Linked DNA regions of Cricetulus griseus. The protein of the gene in region 2 binds, or shares a complex with, the protein of the main gene of each other region. Links are inferred from orthologs where the notes say so. Each region holds a gene or a part of one and is shown on either strand. Other genes may lie near its edges.

Region 1 (10,509 bases), about 110 Mb from region 2:
TTAAAGTGTATATTTGCAGATCTAGGAATATCCAAACACCACATAAAGTTCAGAACCACTGCCCAAATACAAGTCATTGATGATGTCAACTAGCTTCTGGGGGTTATTAATGTCATTTCATTTCCAATGATTGAAAACATGTCATCAATCAATATATCTATAGTTAGATCAGCAACATATGTGCATCTGATTAGATTGGGTGTATTTGGGGTGGTGTAGCTGTAGATTGTTCTGCACATCTGTGCAGGTGTGTGAGACCCTGTGCTGTCAGTTAACCACCTGCTTCCAGTTGTTCACATAGGGGCCACGGTGTCACAGCACTGGCTATTTGCCCTGGCTGTTTGCTCATACTCTCTTCTTTCACACGGCCCCGTATTTGTTCACGTTCACTTATTTGCCCAACAAGGTCAATGCCAGCTGAGACCCTACGAGTCATCTGTTCTGAGTTGGTGTGAATTAGAAAGCCTGGGTGGCTGCCTGGTATTAATTAGTTATCTTTTTCTTTTGAGACAGTCTCACTCACTATATGGCCCAGGCTAGACTCAAACTTACAGTCCTCTTGTTTGGTCCATTTGAGTGCTGGGCTTCCTGGTGTGCACCACCAGGCTAGGCAGATCAGTTACTTTCCAAGCTGAGAGCTGGAAGATTTTGATGTCCCTTAGCATGGTGGGCAACTCCTCTTTTTCTCATGCTTTTAACATGCCTGGTAACACTTTACATTTAGATGACTGACACCTAGTTATCTTGCTGTGGTGTGACCTGTTAGAGACGTGTATATCTCATGATATCTTTCTGTGTTTTAGTTTTTTTAGGTAACATGTATCTTGTGTCTGGAGCTTTGTGTCTAGATGAGCTCAGAGCTTTGATTAATTAATCAGTTGAGAACCCCCCATTGTAGCTCATTAGAGTTACACTATTTTAAGTTTTGCTCAGAGGAAAAGTATATTAATATGCATGTATGCATGAACTTGAGAGATTTTTACTCTTCCTCAATTCATTTTCCTTCATCTAAACGCCCTGTCTTTATGAGCCACTACCGCAGCTTGATTACCAAAGGAAATCTGCTATACTGCCTGATAAAAGACAATGGGACAAAGGTCACAGTAGCTCCTGCCCCTTTTTTGGGGGGAGGTATGGAGATGAGCTGTATAGAGATCTCTCTAGGGAGTTTTCATTAATCAGCAATTTAGTCAGATGTGTACATCCTATGCTTTCCCAAGGGCCTGAGATCATCAGATGGTGGCTCACCGGGTTTCGATGTCCCATATCCTTTTGTAAGACCTTGAAGTTGGCAGTGCAGGAAAACAGGAACTCCACCCTAGCACTGTGAATTGCAGAACTGTTGTGTTGGTTTGTGACCATCTGCCCATTCTTCCTGTTATGACAGAGCTTGTGAACTTTTACTGGGAATGGGGCAAAGCAGATTCCACTTTTGTACGATGAATTGCTGAAGAGGTCTTTTAAAACTTGGAGTATGCATTGCTGATGGAAGGTGTTTCCTATGGGGTCCGACTCTTGTCTAATTTCTTTCTAGGTTTGCCAGATGATTCCCTCCATCCACCCAAGCTCAGCACACAAAAAGATGTACTTACAATTTTGGCCAATACAACCCTTCAGATTACTTGCAGGTAAGGGTTCGTTTTAGATTCAGATTTCCTGTGTGCAAGGACTCATTGTTTACTGAGGTCACAACATTTCCATTACTGCAGAATTATAATAGTATTGTTGTAATTGTTTATAAGTCATGAGGCTTCTAAGAACTCATGCAATAACGAAACAATGAGAAAGGTCTCTTCAAACTTTTGTACTGTTTTGACGGGCCTTTTCAACACGTACAAATGCATACTCACATATGCATTTGCACAACCATGCACACATGTACATGCGTGCCAAAAACTGACATGTGATAGACATTCATGACTATTGATGAATCAGTAAAGTTAAGGGCTTATCCTTGTGAAATAGAGTGGAAGTCTGAGCCATGTTCATGTCAGTTCGAATGACTTGTGAACATCTTTTTAGCCCTTTATAAGAACTGTGTTCTACAAATGAAATTCTGTCTGTAGTAGCAACTTAATCTCTAGCCAACAATATTCCTGACCATATGTCCTGCTCAAAACATGAACTGCATACTCTGGCTTGATATTCAGGCCCTCTTTCCCTCTTGCCCGCAAGTAGCCACGCTACTGATGCTGGATAAGCAGGGAAACAGAACTCTTAGACAAGAGGAGGCCTTTGAATTTTGCTTTTCAACCAAGAGTCAAGAAAGGAAACCTAGAGGAGGTATAGGTGGATATGGCACTCATTCATGAATGACTCAGAGGTCTCTGTAAATCAGTGTGGTTTTGAGTGCTGGTGCCACAAAGAGTCCTGGCAGCTTGTGGCCTTTGCATCCTATTTGAAGAATACCAAGTGGTCCACAGCATAACTCAGGTCTGTTTTAGATTGTTGCATGTGGAGAGACACTAGGCCTCTTATCTAAGGTCTGCAAAGTCTTCAATACCCAGCCTTTGGAGGGGGGGGGGGAACAAAAACAGAAAGCCATAGCAGGAGCTGTTTATCTTCGTAAGTCATGGCGTTTCCAGAGACTTTCCCTTCTACCTAGTCTCAGACACAAAGGTCACTTGAGATCTGCAAAGGTCCCCCTCCCTTTAAAGGAGACTTCAGAAACATTTCTTGTGTTCTGAGCAAACCCTGGAGAGAACAGGCACAGTCAATACTGTGATGTCATGGGAGTTTCAAGCTCTTTGAATGAAGGCTCAGTGGGCCACATTGTTTTATTCATATTGACTACCTTCCATTTGCTTTGTGGAGAAATGAAGCAATAAAAGTATTGTCTATTTAACTTTACCCTTTCAAGGAGGTACCAGGGCCCTCTTCTCTCGGTGCCCTCTCTTCTTCCTCCCTCACACCTACATGATGATTCTGGCTTCCCTGCTGTTTCCCCAACACTCCAGATGTGCACTGGTCTCTGTCCTTCACATTTACCGTTCCTACTTGAAATGCTGTTCCTCATCATGTGCATAGGGCCTGTTTGTTGCTTCTTTTATGTTTCTCTTCATAGCACTAAATTAACACCTTTTATACAATGACTTGTATGTCCTAGTTGTCTCTCCCCTAGTTAGAGTGAGCTTCCATAAAGGCACTGATTTATTTCTTCTTGGTGTACACTGGGAAAGTGCTCTAGCACTGAGCATCATATCTTTGGTCCCTTAAAGCATTAGTTTTTGTCCTTAATAATGGTCAGCAATTATATATACTTAAAAAAACATTCTTTCAGTTCATACTGAAAGAATGAATTGTGAACTAACAGAAAACACATGACCCCATGGGTGATTTCTGAAATAGAGTGTGTGATCTTTGGTGGCATGTCCATGCAGACTGTCATCAGTGTCTATCAACTTTGAAGTGTCTGTTGAGCATTTTATATGCTCATGAGAACCATACCTTCCGTTCTCTTATTCAGAGCCTCATGCCATGGGGTGTCACATTAATACCTTCCTGGAATACTTTTTTCAGGGGACAGAGGGACCTGGGTTGGCTTTGGCCCAACAATCATCATGGTTCTGAGGAAAGGGTGTCGGTGACTGAGTGCAGTGACAGCGTCTTCTGCAAGACACTCACAATTCCAAAAGTGGTGGCAAATGATACCGGAGCCTACAAGTGCTTCTATTGGGATGTCGACATGTCCTCCGTCATTTATGTCCATGTTCAAGGTAAGCAGTGGACAAGAATGTACTTCCCACATCCACTTACTAGGTCTAAAAAGCAACAGGCACAAGAAAAGTTAAGTCCAACAGGAGTCTTGATGGAAAGGCTGTTTGCCAAAAAGAATATAAAAATCTCCCTCCCAGACTTCTTTTAAGAAAGGACTCACTGACTGTCTGGGCTTTGGTCTGAGCTGCATTTGTCTTCTTTAGATAGGTCAGTCCTAGTCCCTTCTGTGTGGTGCTCTGAGATTCTCTGTGACCTGTCATGGGCTATAGGGACTCATAAAATGCCTTCTCTTGTTTGAGACCCTGAGATCTTAGAAATGGAGGGAGATTGGAAGTGGATTATAGAGAGGTTTCTGTGGTGAGATAGGTTATCTGTAGCAGGGAGGAGGTTTTTGCAGGAATGCATAGCGAAATAGCCAAGGACTCTGGAGGTTGTGTTTTTCCCCCTCCCCCATAAGATTTTTCCTTTCCAGACTCACACTTTATTAAAAAAAAATCCACATACCCATGTGCAAAGCACAACACCATCTCCAAAGAAGCCGTGGAGGACTGCATGTCCTGTCTTTGCTTGTGTGCTCTGAGAGGGCTTCAAGTTTGCCATCGACTCCAGGAAGATGCAGCCTAGAGACATGAAAGGTCGCTTCATAGTTAGAGCGAGTATTTTATTTTGAGGGGATGGTAGCTGTGTGAGCTTCCTTTGCATACTTCACCTTTGAGGGCTAATGATTTAGGACTGATTTACAGAAGACCTTTCATTTTACATTAAAGGATTAGCTTAGCTTTTGTCTCATGTGAAAGGGTTACTTTAGCACTGTAAGCAAGGCATGCAACTTAACATCTTTATAATAAAGACTACAAGGCAACATGTATTCGATTTCTAGAGCATGAATTATGATCTCTTTTGTATTTTAAAAACTGCACACCACCTTTTCTTGCAATAAACCCATCTTCACTTATGAGACACCTGTAATATTATGCACTTCTCAGGAATGTCAAGGTTTCATTATATATAAAGATTTATTTGTTTTCATTTTTGTGAATGCAAGTTTTGCATGTGTACTGTGTGCACGCCTGCTATCTGTGGAGGTCAGAAGAGGGCATTAGACCCCCACTGGAACTGGAGTTACAGAAGGCTCTGAGCCACCTTGGGTGATGGGAATTGAATGTACATGCTCAGCAGGAGCAGCCAGTGCTCCTAACAGCTGGACCATCTCTCCAAGTCTGGGTTGCAGACTCCCTATTTTATTTATTCATCTGTATCTAACCTTACATCTCAGAGGATTTGAGACCCGTGAAAATGACTTTGAAATTTTTTTTCTAGAATTAACTATTACCAGATAGAAAGGCTCTTCATCAGGACAGCACTCTTGCAGATATGACCGTCCATAAGATGTGACCTGTCCTTCAGTAAGGACAGTCTATGGAAGACTGTCCTAATGTCCTATGGTGCCCTGGGGGCATTCTTTTTGCCCAGGGTAAGCAAAGTCTAAGATGGAGTTCTGTGCCTTCCTCCTCACTCTGCAGAGCTGAGGGAGACAGACCTTGGGGAATGTCTGGCTCCTTTTGATCTGGCAGTCTTGGGAGATGTGGCTCTCTCAGAAGATTGCAAGGATTTCCTGCTCTCAGCCTGTCTGGAAATGCTACAAGATGAGCCTCTCCCACAATATCTCGTTACTTCCTTCTCCCCAAGTCAGGAAACCTGGAGACATGTAAAATTCATTTCTTGAGTTACAGTAAATATTTTATTTTGAGAGGATACGTGGTTGTTTAATGCTCCTTTGTTTACTTCCCCTTTAGGGCTACTGAAATAGAACCCATTTACCAAATAACTTTAGTCTTAAGTCAAGAGGTTAATTTGACTTCTCCAGACTCTGAATGAAGCACATCGTGTAATAGTCCATTAACATGTGCAATAGCAACAAGCGGTGGTCTCTAGCACTATTTGCCAGTATACTTGGTGCCTTTGGATACACCATGAAATTCTGTTTCCGCCTCAGCTTAGCATTCTATTTGATCATGAAGTTTAACAACAGGAAAGAAAGCTTTGAATGTATTATTCCCTATGGGTAGGTCCTTAATGTCCCCCTCTGGTCCCCACCTCACTTCCTCCGTCCTCTGACCCAACTAGCAGTGGATAGAGCCAGGAAGCTGGCGTTGGCCTCATAAGATAATGGCTATGGCATGTGGGGGGCGAAGCTAGCTGCATTTCTATGCTTTCCAGCTGGGGAGGAAATCAGATTTTTGCTGTTGAAAGGAATTAGCTACTCTTCTTCCCTTTGGCTTCATTAACTCTTTCTTCACCTCTGGAAAGGCTTGGTCAGATGCATGTGGGAGTGGGTGGGGGGTCGGAGCTGGGATGTTGATGTTATCTCTGAGATTTCAAGTGGTGACTCCAGACCATGTCCTCTGTCTCTGGGGAATGGAGTAAATTCCCAGCCATGTATTAATGCTGTGTGAATACTCTCTGAAGGATATCAAAATGACTCTGGCTTTTGGCTCAATCTTTTGGCATTATGGCTTTCCAAATATTCATTGTCAGAGATATATTAATAAGTTTTAAATCTTGAACTGGATGTAGTGGCTATTAAACATTATTGCATAAAGAGTCTTATTTTCAGTGCTCACAGTCTTAAGGTATTATTGAAATCATTCTTTTTGAATCACTGAATCATCTAATTATTGTGCACCTTTGTTTAAAATTTTCATTTTCTTTTCAGGTCATTTATATTATTTGCCTACTGAAAGAAATGAATATTTAGCATTGTAAAACTCATAGTTTCAATGTATGGATTTAAATTTAAAATGCTTATTTTATAAAAAAATTATAATAACCTATTAAAGCATGGCATTTCTAAAATAGATTCTACTTTTTAATGTTCCATGTAGAGAAGTTAAGCTCATTTTTGGAGTTTCCATTCAGATTACTTCTCTCTCTCTCTCTCTCTCTCTCTCTCTCTCTCTCTCTCTCTCTCTGTGTGTGTGTGTGTGTGTGTGTGTGTGTGTGTGTGTGTCTGTATGTGTGTATATATGCTTTTCTCCCCTTCCTTGGCCATAACTTTGGAGCCAGACTAACCTATGGGCATCTTTGCTCATGCAAGTTGTCAATGCCAATCATTCACTCGTTCAGTTATGGTTCATGGACCTAAGAATACCAACTGTCCTTCTAATAACTCACTGGAAACTTCACTTTTCTTCCAGATTACAGGTCACCATTCATCGCCTCTGTGAGTGATCAGCATGACATTGTGTACATCACCGAGAACAAGAACAAAACTGTGGTGATTCCGTGCCTAGGGTCAATTTCAAGCCTCAATGTGTCACTCTGTGCAGTGAGTTGCCTATTTTCTAGTCACTTCCCATCTTTCCAGGGCTGTAAGCCTCTTTGCATATGCACTTCCTGCTTCCAATAGCATGTCAATAGTGAACTGCAAAGCCCTTAGGGAGAGTCAGCAACACAATAAACAAAACCAACTTACATTCTTGAAGCCTTTCAGAAGTCATCAAGTTCCAACAGCACTGGGTTAAATACTGTTTCTTTGTTGTTATCTAGAGATATCCAGAAAAGAGGTTTGTTCCGGATGGAAACAGAATCTCCTGGGACAGTGAGAAAGGCTTTACTATCCCCAGTTACATGATCAGCTATGCAGGCATGGTCTTCTGCGAGGCAAAGATCAATGATGAAACCTACCAGTCTATCATGTACATAGTTGTGGTTGTAGGTAAGTGGGTGTTTCCTTTCTGTGCCATTAATACCATCTAATGAAGAGTGGCTTTCTACATGAAGATCCTGGAGAGAAGGTGTAGAGTGAAGAGCAAGGGGTGTGGGAAAAGATACTAGCTCAGGATATGGGGCTGGTCAATTCCTTATAGATGTTCTTCTCTACCAGACAAACCATTGCAATGGGTGGGGCAGGGAGTGTTCCTCTTTTCTTGCCAAGACCAAGAATGAAAAACCACAGGCGCTCAGGTTATGAAAAATGCAATATTCAGATCACTGCTTGGCACCAGTTCTCTTAATTGTATCTATTTTATGGAAAGTTCAGCTATTTACTCAAGTGGGCCCTGTTAGCCTAGATTTTATTATTCACCAGGTTACAACATTTTCGAAAACGCTGAAGATAGTGATTTGTAAATCACTATAAACCTTTTTTCCTAAAAGCCATCAAGAAGCAGTGAGTCCCCCCAAGAGAAGTGATGTCACACACTTTGTACCACTTTAAAAGATGTGTGCCAACTCCTGGATGTCTTTTCCGTCTTACTTTCTGTTTTTATCATTTACTTGCTCCAGGATACAGGATTTATGATGTGACCCTGAGCCCCCCTCATAGAATCCAGCTATCTGCAGGAGAGAAGCTTGTCTTAAATTGTACAGCAAGAACTGAGCTCAACGTGGGGCTTGATATCAAGTGGGAGATCCCTTCTTTGAAGGTAATGAAAACAGCTCAGAGCCAGGTCTCTGAATACTTTGATAATAAGCCCTAATGAAGTTTGCGTGAGAGATAAAGGGTTCCCTCTGGTCAGATAAATTATAAAGGCTTTAAAACATGCTCTCTCTCTCTCTCTCTCTCTCTCTCTCTCTCTCTCTCTCTCTCTCTCTCTCACACACACACACACACACACACACACACACACACAGATACCCCAGTGTACCCACACTTTAATATAGGAGTATGGCAGAATATATAGCAACCATGAAAGATACCTTGCCAGGACCTGTGCATATTCATCTCTGCTAGGTTATTAATCTTTTGACATTGCTATTGGAGAACACAATGTGGAGTCAGATGCAAGATTTATAATGGTAGTTTATTTAGGAGAGGTACGCACGCAAGTCTACCTAGCCAGGCAGCAGGGAGTTCGAGAGGGACCCTGCACTGCACCCCTAGCTACTTAAACCTTTCCCACATCACTCTGACCACACCCAAGCAGTCGTGGTCAGCAACACCTCTGTCCAGCCCCAAGCTGGCGTGGTCAGCATTACCTCTAATCATGTTTTCTCCCTAAACATTGCATTATTTCTCTGTTCTCTAAAGCCCTTGATCTGTTTTTCCCTTTAAGAGGTGATCTGGGTTACATTTCTCTTTAAACCGTTGTATTTGTATCTATACTCCACACACATCTCATTCCCATTAGCTAAAGAAGTCTTCAAAGTTCTACCTTAGTCCCACGTATTTCAACATTCACTCAATTCTACTGAATCCCAATGTATATATTGCCAGTGTGGCATTTAAAGCCTCAGTTATTAATAATAGTGTGCATCGAGGGACAGGACCTGAATCTGTGGGTCTCTAGGAGCTATTGGATGGTTAGTGTTCTGCTGGGCTGTGAACATTCACTACAATCTTTTTGTTTCTCAGCATCAGCATAAGAAGGTTATAAACAGGGACCTGAAACCCCTTCCTGGGACTGTGATGAAGAAATTTTTGAGCACCTTGATAATCGACAGTGTGACACGGAATGACCAAGGGCTATATATCTGCACAGCGTTCAGTGGGCGGATGACCAAGAGAAACAGCACGTATGTCCAAATTCATAGTAAGTGACCATTTTCTTGCTAATATACTGTACCTGAAAGAGTGAGATGATTTACACAAATTTACCTTGTTCATTTGCAAGATACTTTTGAGTTCTTGTTAATGAGGACACAAGGCCTAGAGGTCAACAGCTTAACTTTGGAGTCAGGGACTTGTGTTCAAAACCTCAACTTAGAAATGACACATGGTAAGTGCTCACTAGGTATTGCTTGCTAGAGCCGTTTCTGCAGTTATAACTATTATTAGAAGTAGAGTGCTAGTATGTGAAATGGTATATTAAAGATTTCGGTAAGGGAGGCTAAGAGCTTACTTGAAGAAGCATAAACCCTTCAAATTGGGGAAACCCAGATTCAGTTGCTTTCTCTGTTGCTTTAGCTAAATCACCCAAATTCTCAGTTATGCCCTCTCATTTACATAGCTGTCTAGTTTAGATAATTTATTTATGCTAGAGCTCTAGCTTATGCTTTTACAGGGTTACTTTGAAGCTTACATGGAATAGTTTGTTTTGTGATGTCGGGGTCTTGCATATGGTAGGCAAGTGATCTACCATTGCACTGCTTTAAGAAAGTAAAGGCAGAAGAAGGAAGAACAGTTAGGGGGTTGGTTGTTCAAATCCAGGTGAGAGATGGTAGAGGACTTGGACTAGGGTATCTGTGGAGGAAGTAGAAGACATGAGATCTTGGATCTACTCTGAAGGCATAGTCAGCTAGACTTGCTGGTTGATTTGTTGGCTGTGATTATGGCTTGAGCTTTAACATAAAGAGATGGCCTTCACTTTAACACAGGCAGAGGAACAGTGGTGTTACTAAGTGAAGGGGGGTGGGTAAGATGGCATTTGGAGAATAGTGTTGAGTGAGTTCCTTTGGAGATGCCCATTAAACATACAGGTAGAGATGTTTGATATGTAAACTTGGAACCCAGAGAAGTCAGGGCAGGGGTTGAAAGTTTCTGTAGTGACAGATGCTTTAAATCTGAAACTAGATAGAAGAGGGGGCAGGGAAAGAGAGTGGTCTGAGGAGGGAGTGTTGGACAACCAACACCTAGAATGTGGGTAGCGGGTGTTATGGGAGCAGAGGTTCAGGTGTGCCCGCTGGTCCCTGAGGGATTTAGAGAAGGCTGTGGGGAAGGATGGAAGCTCAAGGCTCATGAGAGAGCACTAGCGAGGAGAGAAGTTTGACAAAGGTTAGAGAGGAGCTGGAATGTGGCTGCTATAGACAGCATGGAGACTCTCAGAATGGCAGTACCCCAACATCTAACTT
Region 2 (11,223 bases):
TCAGAGAGACACTGAGGCCAAGCAGTGGTGTGACAGGAGGCTCCAGGTATGAAGGAGACCCCGAGAGGTCATTATGCAAAATTGTGAAAAGTGAATCCTGGGTTTCAGACTCAAAGATGTTAGCGATACCAGATCCTTGAGAGTGGAACCAGACAGAGAAAGAGAAAGAGAAAGAGAGAGAGAGAGAGAGAGAGAGAGAGAGAGAGATAGAGAGAGAGAGAGAGAGAGAGAGAGAGAGAGAGAGAGAGAGTGCAAGTAGTAAAGCTGAAAGGGTAAAGCCATGTCACACTTCTTGATACTTGAAGTGGCATGACAATATTTGAAGTCTGGTTTGGTTTTGCTTTGATCCATTCACTATTCCTTCATTAGTCTCCTTTGGTAATGTGTCTTCTGTGCTCTTGTGTGATGGAAGTATGTAATTTATAGGGTGCACTGAGTCTCAGAAGGCTCTTTGGATTTTTAAACAGTGTCACAACTATTAAGACTATGGGCTTTCCGAGGTAAGACTAATGCATTTGAATTATTAACTGACAAGGAGCCTATGGAGGCCAGGGGATAGAATGAGTTGGTTTGAAGGACCTTGCCTTCCATAGGCTCTGGTATTGAACACTTGTTTGCCAGTTGGTGGTGCTGTTTGGGAGGTTTAGTTGGAGGAGTCTTTTTGGAAGAAATGTATCACCGTAGTGAGGGTTGGGCTTCAAGAGTCATTCAAGAGTAGCCTTTTTCTACTTCCAGCTTGATGTCTCTGCTTCTGTTAAAGGTGTGATCTCCCAGCTTCTTGATGCTACAGCCATGATGCTCTCTTATTTGTCTGAAGTCATCAACCAATAAAATTCTTCCTTCTCTAAGTTGCCTTGCTCATGGGATTTTTTACATCACAAATAGAAGAGTAACTGACACAAAAGTATTTAAGAAAACTCAGAGATAGTCCTGCCTCTGCCTTCACAGTGCCAGTATTAAAGGCATTCACCACTATTGCAAGGCCAAAACTTGTGTTTTTAAGTTGTGTTCCCTAGAGACTAGAGCTATGAGAAACAAATGATTTGTCCATTAAACTATAAAAGTTTGAATTGCAACCACAAATCAAAACCAGTGATGCAAGAAATCAGATATAGGTCAGTGATGGGGAATGCTCTGTGTATGTTTATCTTATTGCTTGTTGAATAAAATACTGTTTGGCCAATGAGACAGCAAGTTAGACAGGACTAGGAGTCAAAGAGGATTCTGGAAAATGTAGTAGAGAAGTGATGATCCAGGCAGGAAGTGACATAGCAAGGAGACTCACATTTAAAGAAGGAGAAACAGAGCCGGGCGTTGGTGGCGCACACCTTTAATCCCAGCACTCGGGAGGCAGAGGCAGGCGGATCTCTGTGAGTTCGAGACCAGCCTGGTCTACAAGAGCTAGTTCCAGGACAGCCTCCAAAGCCACAGAGAAACCCTGTCTCGAAAAAACAAACAAACAAACAAAAAACAAAACAAAACAAAAACAAACAAAGAAGGAGAAACAGGAAGTGTCCCTCTTTTCCCCTCTGCTCCTGCTCCAGCGGCACAATGTGATCCACCGGCAAGGAGGGATGTCAATAAGGCATCCAATAAGATAAGTCTTATAAAATATATAGATTTATGATAATTAAGACTGAGCTAGCATATGAGAGGTCCTACTCATTGTCCAAGCACGATTGTACCTAATACAAGTTTCTGTGTATTCATTTGGGTCCTAACTCGGGCGGGCGTCTGGTGTAAAGCTCACATGTGGCGGTGGGGCTCAGGTGGCTTTTGGCAGAAAGATTTATCGTAGCAGGTCAGACTAAAGGAGATGGACAGAATCTAACAAATGTCGGAACATGCACAGTGCATCTAAAATACATCAAGGCTGCATGTGTTACAAGTACTGTTTGGGCCTGAAGTTGTCTCTTATGCCTGGATCATATTCCTTCTGAAGTACTGTATAGAACTATAGCAAGTCTTTCTCTGTTCCACCAGCCAGCTCCCAAATAAACAATATGGAGATTTCTAATTAATTATGAAAGCTCGGCCTATAGCTTAGGCTTGTTTCTAACTAGCTCTTATAATTAAAGTCACCCATTTCTACTCATTTACATGCTGCCACCTGGCTCATGGCAGGCTATCTGATCTCCTACATGTCATGCTTCTTCCTTCCTCTGAGTCTGGCTGGTGACTCTGCCCTTCTTTTTCCTAGTGTCCTCTCTCTGCCCTGAAAATCTTGCCTAGCTATTGGCCATTTAACATTTTATTAAACCTATCACAGTGATATATTTTCACATAGTGTAAAGGAATACTCTAAAACATAGAAGTGTTAAGCTCTTAAGAGATCACTATCTAAAAACTGGCAAGGATGTTGATTAGATTTACAGGTATCTAATCTCTCATCCCTTTTCAAGGATAAAAATACTGATAGTTTCAAGATCTCCAAACAGTAAATCTCACAGGCCAGTTTGCTCAGTGCTCAGGGATGGGAACAAACACTGACCCCCACATGGGAACCATTACCCCGAAGAGAAATTTAGGGTCATCCCCAACCTTACATGCAATGTGGACAGGAACCAATGTAAAATGAGGTGGCTTCTCAAGCAGTAACCATTTTCTCCTTACCAGCAGACCTTCCAAGGGGAAACAAGCCAAATAATAATGAGAACACAGCAGCTTGGTTAAAGCTGCTTGACTAGATTTCTAGTCCTGGGCTTTTCTTCGTCTTGAAATTCTTGTCAGTTCCCTAGTACAGAGCCTACAATCTTCCCATGTGGCCCCACTTAAAATTGCTTTTTTGGATCACTACCACTTGACTCTGATGGACTCTCAAGGTGGCAGGTGCCAGAATTTGGTCCTGAGGAACCTAACAAATTCTGATAAGATGCAGACGTCGACATACTGTTATTTGCCCTCAACCACTGTCTTCACAAAAGATTACAAAGTCAATGGCTACAACAAACTACAGGCATTATCCAACTGTTACCCAATTCTCTCCTCTCAGTCTTTACTAACAAAGCAATACTTTCTGGAAAACAAAACCAAACAAACAAGGAGTAATCCCTCCCCCCTTTTAGAAGCACATTTGAAATAAAAGTAGGAGTGGATCTTAAAAGATCTTGGAGGAAGTCACTGGTAAAAAATAAATCAAAACAAAAAAACAGTAAAAATTATTTTTTAAACTTCAAAATCTGTTAATGGTTCATATATTTTTTGGGGTGTTAAATTGGGAAAATGCCCCTAAAAACTCTTTTTTAATTACTTTATAAAATTTATTCTTTAAGATGTATGTTTATTATTATTATTATTATTATTATTATTATTATTATTGTTATTATTACTTCTACTACTCCTGCTGCTGTTTTTAATCCCTTGGCCTCATGTGTGGTGGGCAAGCATTCTAACACTGGGCTTTACTGCCAGCTTTGCTGTACTGTTTTAGAAGACTACTAGTTTATTTAAATACCTCTTGCTAGAATTTTATTTCCATCAAACAGCATCAGTAGCAGGAAGATAGCTATATTTAAATGGAAAAATTCTGTGGAAAGGTTTTTTTAATCCTGTCACTAATATATTTTGATACATGTTGAGTTTGTCGCTATCATGGTATTCATATACCCTGAGGCTGTGGAAATGTGTGAAGTTCTCATTGTGGGTTGCCTATAAAAGGCATTCTGACATCCAAGCCTTTCTGCAGAATTCCGTAAATTCTGGTGGTATGCCCAAGCATCTGTTTTTACAACCACCCTTTGTGATTCCAACTGCAATGAAAGTTGAGGATCACTGCACTGGGACACGATTATCAGGACACTCCATTTCTATTTGAGTCACAATCCAGCCTGTCCTTAGCTTTTCTCTTCCCATAACTTTATTAAGAGATGACGATAAACATGACAAGTTCCTTGAAAACATGTACAACAGGAACACTGAAAGAGGGGAACATTTTGACAATGCCAAGATCCCTAGTTATCTCCACACATTGTGATGGGCTGATTGTGGCAAGGTGGCACTTCCTCATGTTAAATAACAAAGCACACATTAGGGCACAGGAAAGCAACCCCGACACAAAGGTGGAGCCATGCAGACGTGACTAAGTAGCAGTACACACTCAGATTTCTTGAGAAATCTGGTCAGCTTTAACCATCTGTTGCATCAAGGGTCAGATTTGGCTGCCAGAAAATAAACTTGGTCCAAGGCTATGTCAACAAATGCTTACTCTCTGGACAAGAGAGACCCTTTTCTTGCATGCTTCATTGGAGTATTTTAAGTATGGAGCCATGTTCTGAGCAGCGTACTTTGTGAACATAAACTTAGCATGATGCATGAGGAGAATTGGAACTGTCAGGTTAAATAAAAAGGAATTTTTCACTGGTAGGAAAAGTTCACCCTGGGAGAATGTGACAGATATTTCCAAAATATCCGAGGAAAGTCCATGTGGAAGTTAGGTTAGATGAAGTTTGAAGAATGCCAAAGTCAAAAGCAATGGATAGATGGAAGGAAACTTCAACAACGTTAGTTCAGTAAAGGGAACATGCACAGCCATACCTTGGAGTGCTCCCTGTTTGCAGGGGTATGTAAGTGATTGTCAATGTTGGATAAGGGGACAACCATATTTTAGGATTTAAATCACAAGGAAGTTTTTCCTCAGTGTACAATTTGATGAGTTTTGAACGTTAGTGTACTCAATACAGGTTTTGTTTTGTTAAGAAAAATAAGTAGGATCTTTTATGCTTTGCACTGCTAAATTGGAACTTGTGCAATCTGCCCACCAGCTCCAAGGAGGAAAGTGACTGATGTCCCTTGTAGCATAAGGAAGTCCCTAGGTGCTTTTCCAAAGGACAAAGGCATCACAGCCGATTGCTCTTTTCGGCATATAAACTGCCCCATTCTTATCGATTTTCCCTTGTTAACTGAAGGTATATCTTGTAGAAACTTTTGTTTTGGTGGGGGTGTCTTTCAGTATCCTTGGAGACCCTGGCTTATCCCTCCATCTGCTGGAAGTTTAGAACTTTCTGAAGATCACTAACCTAGCATCTCTCTCAATTGGCTGCCCTGTATTCTGGGATGTGCTGCATTCTTACTTCAAGCTACACAGAGAACAGCTGAGGTGGTGGTGGGCACCTCTTCTTACTTCATGGCTCCTAAGCTCTCTGCCATAATGATGACTTTCTTTTGCAACTTTTTTTTTTTTTTTTTTTAGAACTTTCAGGCTGATTTCAAACTTCGTGGACGCTCTAAGGACAAAGAACCCATGGAGTTAAGACTTGAACTCAAGGTGCTGCCAGCTCCCCCCCCCCCAAGAAAAAACAAACAAACAAACAAAAACTCCTATTCTTATCTTTTTAGCAGTTGAGCTCAGTCCTGAGGATAGAGCTCCAGTCCCCAGACTTAACTTTAGCCTCTGGCTGCCCTCTCCCTCCCAACAGAGTACAGAGAGAGAGAGAGAAGGGGAGAGAAAGGAAAAGCAAGGAGAGAATGGAGGTGGGGCTGGAGCAAAGCGTGGGGCTGGAGGGAGCGAGCTTCCGAGGGAAAAAGAGGGGAGGGCAGACGGGGCTCGGCACGCTCCCTCCCTCGGCCGCTTTCTCTCACATAAGCGCAGGCAGAGGGCGCATCAGTCATGCCCTGCCCCTGCGCCCGCCGCCGCCGCCACCACCGCTCGGCCCCGCGCGCGCAGGAGGCTCGAGCGCCCGGGAGCTCGCCGGCCTCGCCGCCGCCGGGCGTCCCGCCGCCCTCCTCCCGCCCCCGGCTCCGCCGTCGCCACCGCCACCGCCACCGCCTCTCCCGCGGCTCCTGCGGCCCGGCTCCTTTCACTTCGGGCGAGGGGAGGGAGGAGGGGGACGAGGGACTCGCGGGCTCCTCGGGACGAGCGGAACATCTCGGGGTGACTGGTCTTAAGCAACCAACCAGCCCCCCACCGCCCCCCTTCTTTGCAAAAACGCCAAAACAAAACCGCGATCGGCGACGGCGGCGGAGCCGGCCCCCGGCGCCCTCGCTTCACCTCGCGGGCCGCCACCGAGGGCAGCTCGGATGTCCGGTTTCCTGTGAGCCTCGTACCTGACACCCGGCGCCTCTCCCCGGCGCGGGCTGCCAGAGCCGAGGGCAAAAGTTGGGAGCTGCGGAGCCCCCGGGATCCGCTCGCTCAGGGGGTTCCCCCGAAGGAAACCGCGGGACTGGGACGAGAGGGGACCTCAGCCTCGCGCCCCAGCCTGCGCCTGCCAGCGGACCGGCCTCCCCGCTCCCGGTCCTTCCACCATGCACTTGCTGGGCTTCTTGGCTCTGGCGTGTTCCCTACTCGCCGCTGCGCTGATCCCGGGTCCCCACGAGGCGCCCGCCACCGCCACCGCCTTCGAGTCCGGACTGGGCTTCTCGGAAGCGGAGCCCGACGGGGGCGAGGTCAAGGTAGGTGCGCGGACCCGCCGGGCTGGGCTGTGGATCAGCTGCTCCCAGCCCTGGACTGTGGGTTTGGTTTTGCTGGGTGTACAGAGAACCTGTCGGCGAGAGTGTGTGCATAATTATTTATTTAACCTTTGGATCCAAAGTTAGAGATTGGTGCGCGCTTCCTTGGAGCAGAGTGGCCCTTCTTTTTCAGTGGAAAGCTGTTCCTAGAGAGGAAACCAACTGAGAGGAGGGAAGGGTACACAGAGGTGTCCCGGTCACACACAAGCAGATGGAGAATGTTACTTCTGAGTGGTCTCCTAATGCCAACAGGGGAGCTTGCACCCTGCCCTGGTGGCATGACTCCAGAGAGAATTTCATTGCTGTAGGGAAATGTTCTCTTTCTCTCTCCTTTCCCCCCCCTCTGGCTGGTTCTTTGGACTCCAAACAGCTTCTGGGGTGTGTGACTAGACACTTAGGTCTCTGCTCCTGGAATGTTTATAGCAGGAGCCCCAGGCTCTGGGAACTAGTTTGGAAAAAGTGGAAGTAAATTTAGTAACTGGGCTTGAAGGTTTTTAGATTTTAGGATTAAGTTGAACTTGCTCAAATCTAAGTTGTAACCGAGATTGGAATCTTTTAAATCATAGGCAAGAGAAACTTTTCGCCAACTTTATCAACTGCGTTTGTAGACCCTGGCAATGACATAGTAAAAATTGAAGAGTCAATGTGTTTGTTTAATTTTTTAAAGAGTAACTTTCCTAAGCATGCTAAGACACTTTTGAAGACATTTGATTCTCAAAAGAAGTTATCTTACCTTATTCTCACTGGAACCTTCTAAAGAATATTTATACATTTTAACGTTTTGGGCTCCTGAAAAAGTTTTGCATTTACGGCACTGTGAAGCCTCCCTGGCTGGAACCAGCCTGAAGTGGTTTATTGTAGCTGACTGCAAGTGAAAAAAGGCAAGGGGTGTCTTCCCTCAACTTTCAGTTGACTTTATTGGGGAACACATACTAAATGTGCAGAGAGCAAATCACCTTCCCTGGGTTTTGTCTGAGGTACACTTTAATAAGGGCAAGACTACTTTCTAAAGTATCAAACTACCTTTTGGTTTACATTTGGGAAAAAAAGTTATCAGAATTTGTAGGTCATTATGAGAATTGCAACTTCCAGCTTAACCATATTACTGTAACTAGAGTGATGAGAAAAACATTGTCCCCAAATGCCACAAGAGTAAAGCTATGCAACCAGTAACACTTGTAATTTGAGCCCTTCAGTTTTGCCAGTCCCTTTCACTTCCTGACTCTTCAAACACATGTAGGTATGACTTACTCTGACAACATCTCCACTGCCTGTGATAACTGGCTTTGATTTACAGTAGGAAAGTGTGAAGATTGAGTAAAAGGAGAAACATTTCCTGATAAGCCAATAGTTGATATAATAGTCAGTCATCACCGAGTCAGTCATGCATGACTGTACCAGAGCATAAGTGTGTGTGTGTGTGTGTGTGTGTGTGTGTGTGTGTGTGTGTGTGTGTGTGCATGTCAAGTGCTCAGGTGTGTGTTATAGGAAGGTGAACACTTGCAGGCAAATATCCCTCATTTTTAATTTTCAAAGCTACTGTCATTGGTATGTCATTACATTTCTCCTTTTCTCTGAAAATCTATGTATTTTGTTTGCAACTCTTTTTTTGTATTTAACCATCTCTTAAATTCTGTATGTTGAATGAGATCTGATATTTAGTATGTGATATGTTTTTGTTTTTTCATCCGTAGGAGGAAACTTTATTGTGTATCTTTGAGTTTCATGGGCAGCATACTTTTGCTGTGCTCAACTGTTCCCTAGAGGGTGAAGAGGCCCTTGGCAGCCTGTTTTACTGATGCCTTTCCTGAAACTTTTGTGTCCTTGCTGTGAAACTGGCACAGTGACCCAAACTGTGGTGTAAAGACTCCATGTCTCTCCCTAGTGGGCTTTCAAAGCACCTCAGTTAGCTTCAACCCAAGAAGAAACAAGTTGTAAGCTTCCTAAAACCCCAAGAAGGCATTTCACAAGATAAAAACAAGTTGTTCATTATACTCAGTATTAACTCATACAAAGTTTGTTAATAAATACCCATGTTGCTTTTTAAAAATTCACAAATATAGAAAAGCTGTTAAACTATGAAGCAAGCTCATCATCCAGTCCTCCTTGTGGCACCCAAGGCTACTCAAATAGTTGGAAGTGAATTTAGTAGGTTCCCTTTTCTTTTTTTTAAATGGTTGTGTGATTTAATGAAAAGTCCTAAAATATTTCCTGAAGGGTGTTAATCCAAACAGGCCAGTGTCAGGAAGCTAAAGCAGCTGGATATTGTGGGCATAAAAAGAAACATTCCAAACTTGTTATCACACTAATGGATATTGCTGAGTTCAGAAAATTATTGCTATAGCTAATAATTTGCAAGGTGAGTCTGGTAGACCATACTCTGGTGAGTTGGAACTGAAGAATTTAGTTATAAGAAAGACATTGGCTTATGACACAAAGAAGTAAGACTTACCTCATACAAACTATAGCTATCAAAATTTTTTCCTTTTATTGAAAATATATTCTTTTCTCACATAATATATCCTAATTCTAGTCCCCTGGCCAATTCCTTCCACTCTCTTTTTCTATCTCTCATTAAAAAATAAAAAGGCTTCTATGGGCTGATTATAAAATGAAATATAATAGATTAAACAAAAACGAACTCATCAGAGTTAGAAAAAATAACAGAAAGGGAAGAGCCCAAAGAAGGTCAAAAAGCAGATACAATTTAATAAAGGGGGCGGGGGGGCGGGGGCCGGGGGGCCGGGGAGACCTGACTTTATAAGACCAGGAGCCTCCAAGATGCCACTGATTTCATTTTCGTTAGCCATATTCTGCTGGGCATGCAGTATATTCCCTTAAATATAGTTTGTCTCTTCCTGGTTAGGATGGGGCCATGTGTCCACTTCTCCTTTCAGCTCTAAAATCCCATCTGGTGCAGACCCATACAGGCCCTGGCATGCTTCCTCAGTCTCTATGAGTTCATTTGTGTTTTGATCATGTTGATTTAGAGAACACCAAAGGGTCTTGGTGTCCTACATTCCCTCTGGCTCTTGCAATCTCTTTCTGCCTCTTCTGAAGTGTTCCCTGAGACTTGAGGGAAGGGATTTGATGGAGACTCCAATTCCAGCCAAGTGTTCCAGGCTTTCTCACTCTCTGAATAATGTGTGACTGTAGGTCTTTGTGTTTGTTCCCATCTGCTGCAGGAAGAAGATTCTCCAATGATAGCTGAGCAAGGCATTGCTCATGTTTGTCTTTCTGGGTAGCTATCAGACTTTTTAATTATAGTATTTTAATTTTTTCTTTGAGAATTTTATTATGGATACAATGTATTCTGCTGATGATATCCATCCTCCACTCTGCCCATCCAAATCTTTCCAGTGCCTCCCTCTCCAAAATTTCATGTTTTCTTAATTTGTTCTTGAAAAAAGGTATGCAAATATGTAGGTCTTTACATGTTATGGTTTGCAATAGAACACATTTTCTTTATCAACTTTTTAATAATTTGTGTACTTTGGTGTGTTTTAGTTTGTTATTTATTCTGTCACCTAAATCAATGGTAGTATTCTTCAAAGTGCCATATGTGTGCCTGCATAGAATTCCCTAGATGTCTTCATATGTGTTCCTGAATTGAAATTTCCTAGACATCTCTGTTTTCTCTTTTAACTTGACACCAAATGAATCTCTGGGCTTTGGTATGGAAGACGTATTTGAAATAATATCCCAAGTCATTTCTATTCTCAATAAAAGTATTACACAATATATATGGATGCCTTAAGTTCATTAGTTTTTATCATGGTCATCGTGTCATTGTTCAGTTTGTGAAATAATATGTCAGGCAGAAGTCATCATGAAAGACTTTGTTGCTGTTGTTTTCTTTAAGTAGTTTGCCATTGAGGTGAAAAAGACAACATAAATTGTAGTCTGTGATAAAATTGAAATTATGAAATTTTTATCTATTATGGAGTTTACCTATTATTATAAAATCTATTATTATGAAATTAACATTGTGTATGTTCTGAAGTTTGGGAGAGACTCTCTGTCTGCCTATTTGATCTGGGATCTTTGATCTCAGAGAGGAGCCTTGGCTGTAATTGGGATGTGAATTTTTAATAGATGAATTCATCAACACCAGAATTACACTTGCTTTCTAGGATAGCATAGGGACATGAGAAGGCAAATAGAAGAACAGTTTGGAGCTGGGGTGTTATATAGACAACAGTGAATTCCCCTAAGTACCAGTCTGGTTAGATAGCTGGAATTCTGCTGAGGTTCTTTTCACCACTCAGCCTATGGGGTTCCACTTAACACTGTGAGTCATGGGGGAAGAGTTAGCAAATGATACACAGACTATTGAAATCAATCATAAGATTGGATAAATGTCATACAGACTTTTACTTGGAGGCAATCTAATTAAGAAGTAAAAGAAATACATTAGATGGAGTGTCATGTACAGCCCCAGCTGGGCAGACACAGAGGGACATGAAGAAGGAGTCATCCCAGAAGATTGATAACTGTGAAAGTTGAAGGTGTAGAAGAAATCAGCCCTGGCCTTGGTAATTTAGTCATAAGAAAATAGTGTTTTCCATTTGTAGAATTAGGCTGTTTCATAGAAGAGGATGAGTAACAGTATAATTCCACAGATCACTTAGGATACTAGTAGGAATAAGACATATTTGGAAAAGCAAAATAAACCTCAAAGTAAGCCCTTATGTCAGTGGTTCTCAACCTTCCTAATGCTGTGTCCCCTTAATAGAGTTCCTATTGTTGAGATGACCCTCAATTATAAAATTGTTTCCT

The links. Proteins that work in one complex are often made in the same cells at the same time.
Region 1: the proteins of Vegfc (region 2) and Kdr are in contact, whole or in part, in a crystal structure (PDB 2X1W), measured with the Homo sapiens proteins. The link is inferred for Cricetulus griseus from reciprocal best matches to the Homo sapiens genes VEGFC and KDR. Residues at the interface, in NP_005420.1 of Homo sapiens: Thr148, Asn149, Phe151, Lys153, Phe186, Ile188, Val190, Pro191, Leu192, Gln194, Pro196; in NP_002244.1 of Homo sapiens: Val135, Tyr137, Ile215, Val216, Val217, Val218, Asn253, Val254, Gly255, Ile256, Asp257, Phe258, Asn274, Arg275, Asp276, Phe288, Leu289, Ser310, Ser311, Gly312.

The regions. Positions count from the first base shown.
Region 1 is NW_023276807.1:142,440,039-142,450,547, reverse strand, and holds part of Kdr (vascular endothelial growth factor receptor 2), read left to right. Parts: intron 1-1,534; coding exon 1,535-1,628; intron 1,629-3,519; coding exon 3,520-3,716; intron 3,717-6,914; coding exon 6,915-7,045; intron 7,046-7,266; coding exon 7,267-7,435; intron 7,436-8,004; coding exon 8,005-8,144; intron 8,145-9,073; coding exon 9,074-9,251; intron 9,252-10,509. UniProt on the Homo sapiens protein: Tyrosine-protein kinase that acts as a cell-surface receptor for VEGFA, VEGFC and VEGFD. Plays an essential role in the regulation of angiogenesis, vascular development, vascular permeability, and embryonic hematopoiesis.
Region 2 is NW_023276807.1:33,451,841-33,463,063, reverse strand, and holds the start of Vegfc (vascular endothelial growth factor C), read left to right. Parts: upstream 1-6,087; 5' UTR 6,088-6,240; coding exon 6,241-6,387; intron 6,388-6,396; exon of another isoform or gene 6,397-11,223. UniProt on the Homo sapiens protein: Growth factor active in angiogenesis, and endothelial cell growth, stimulating their proliferation and migration and also has effects on the permeability of blood vessels.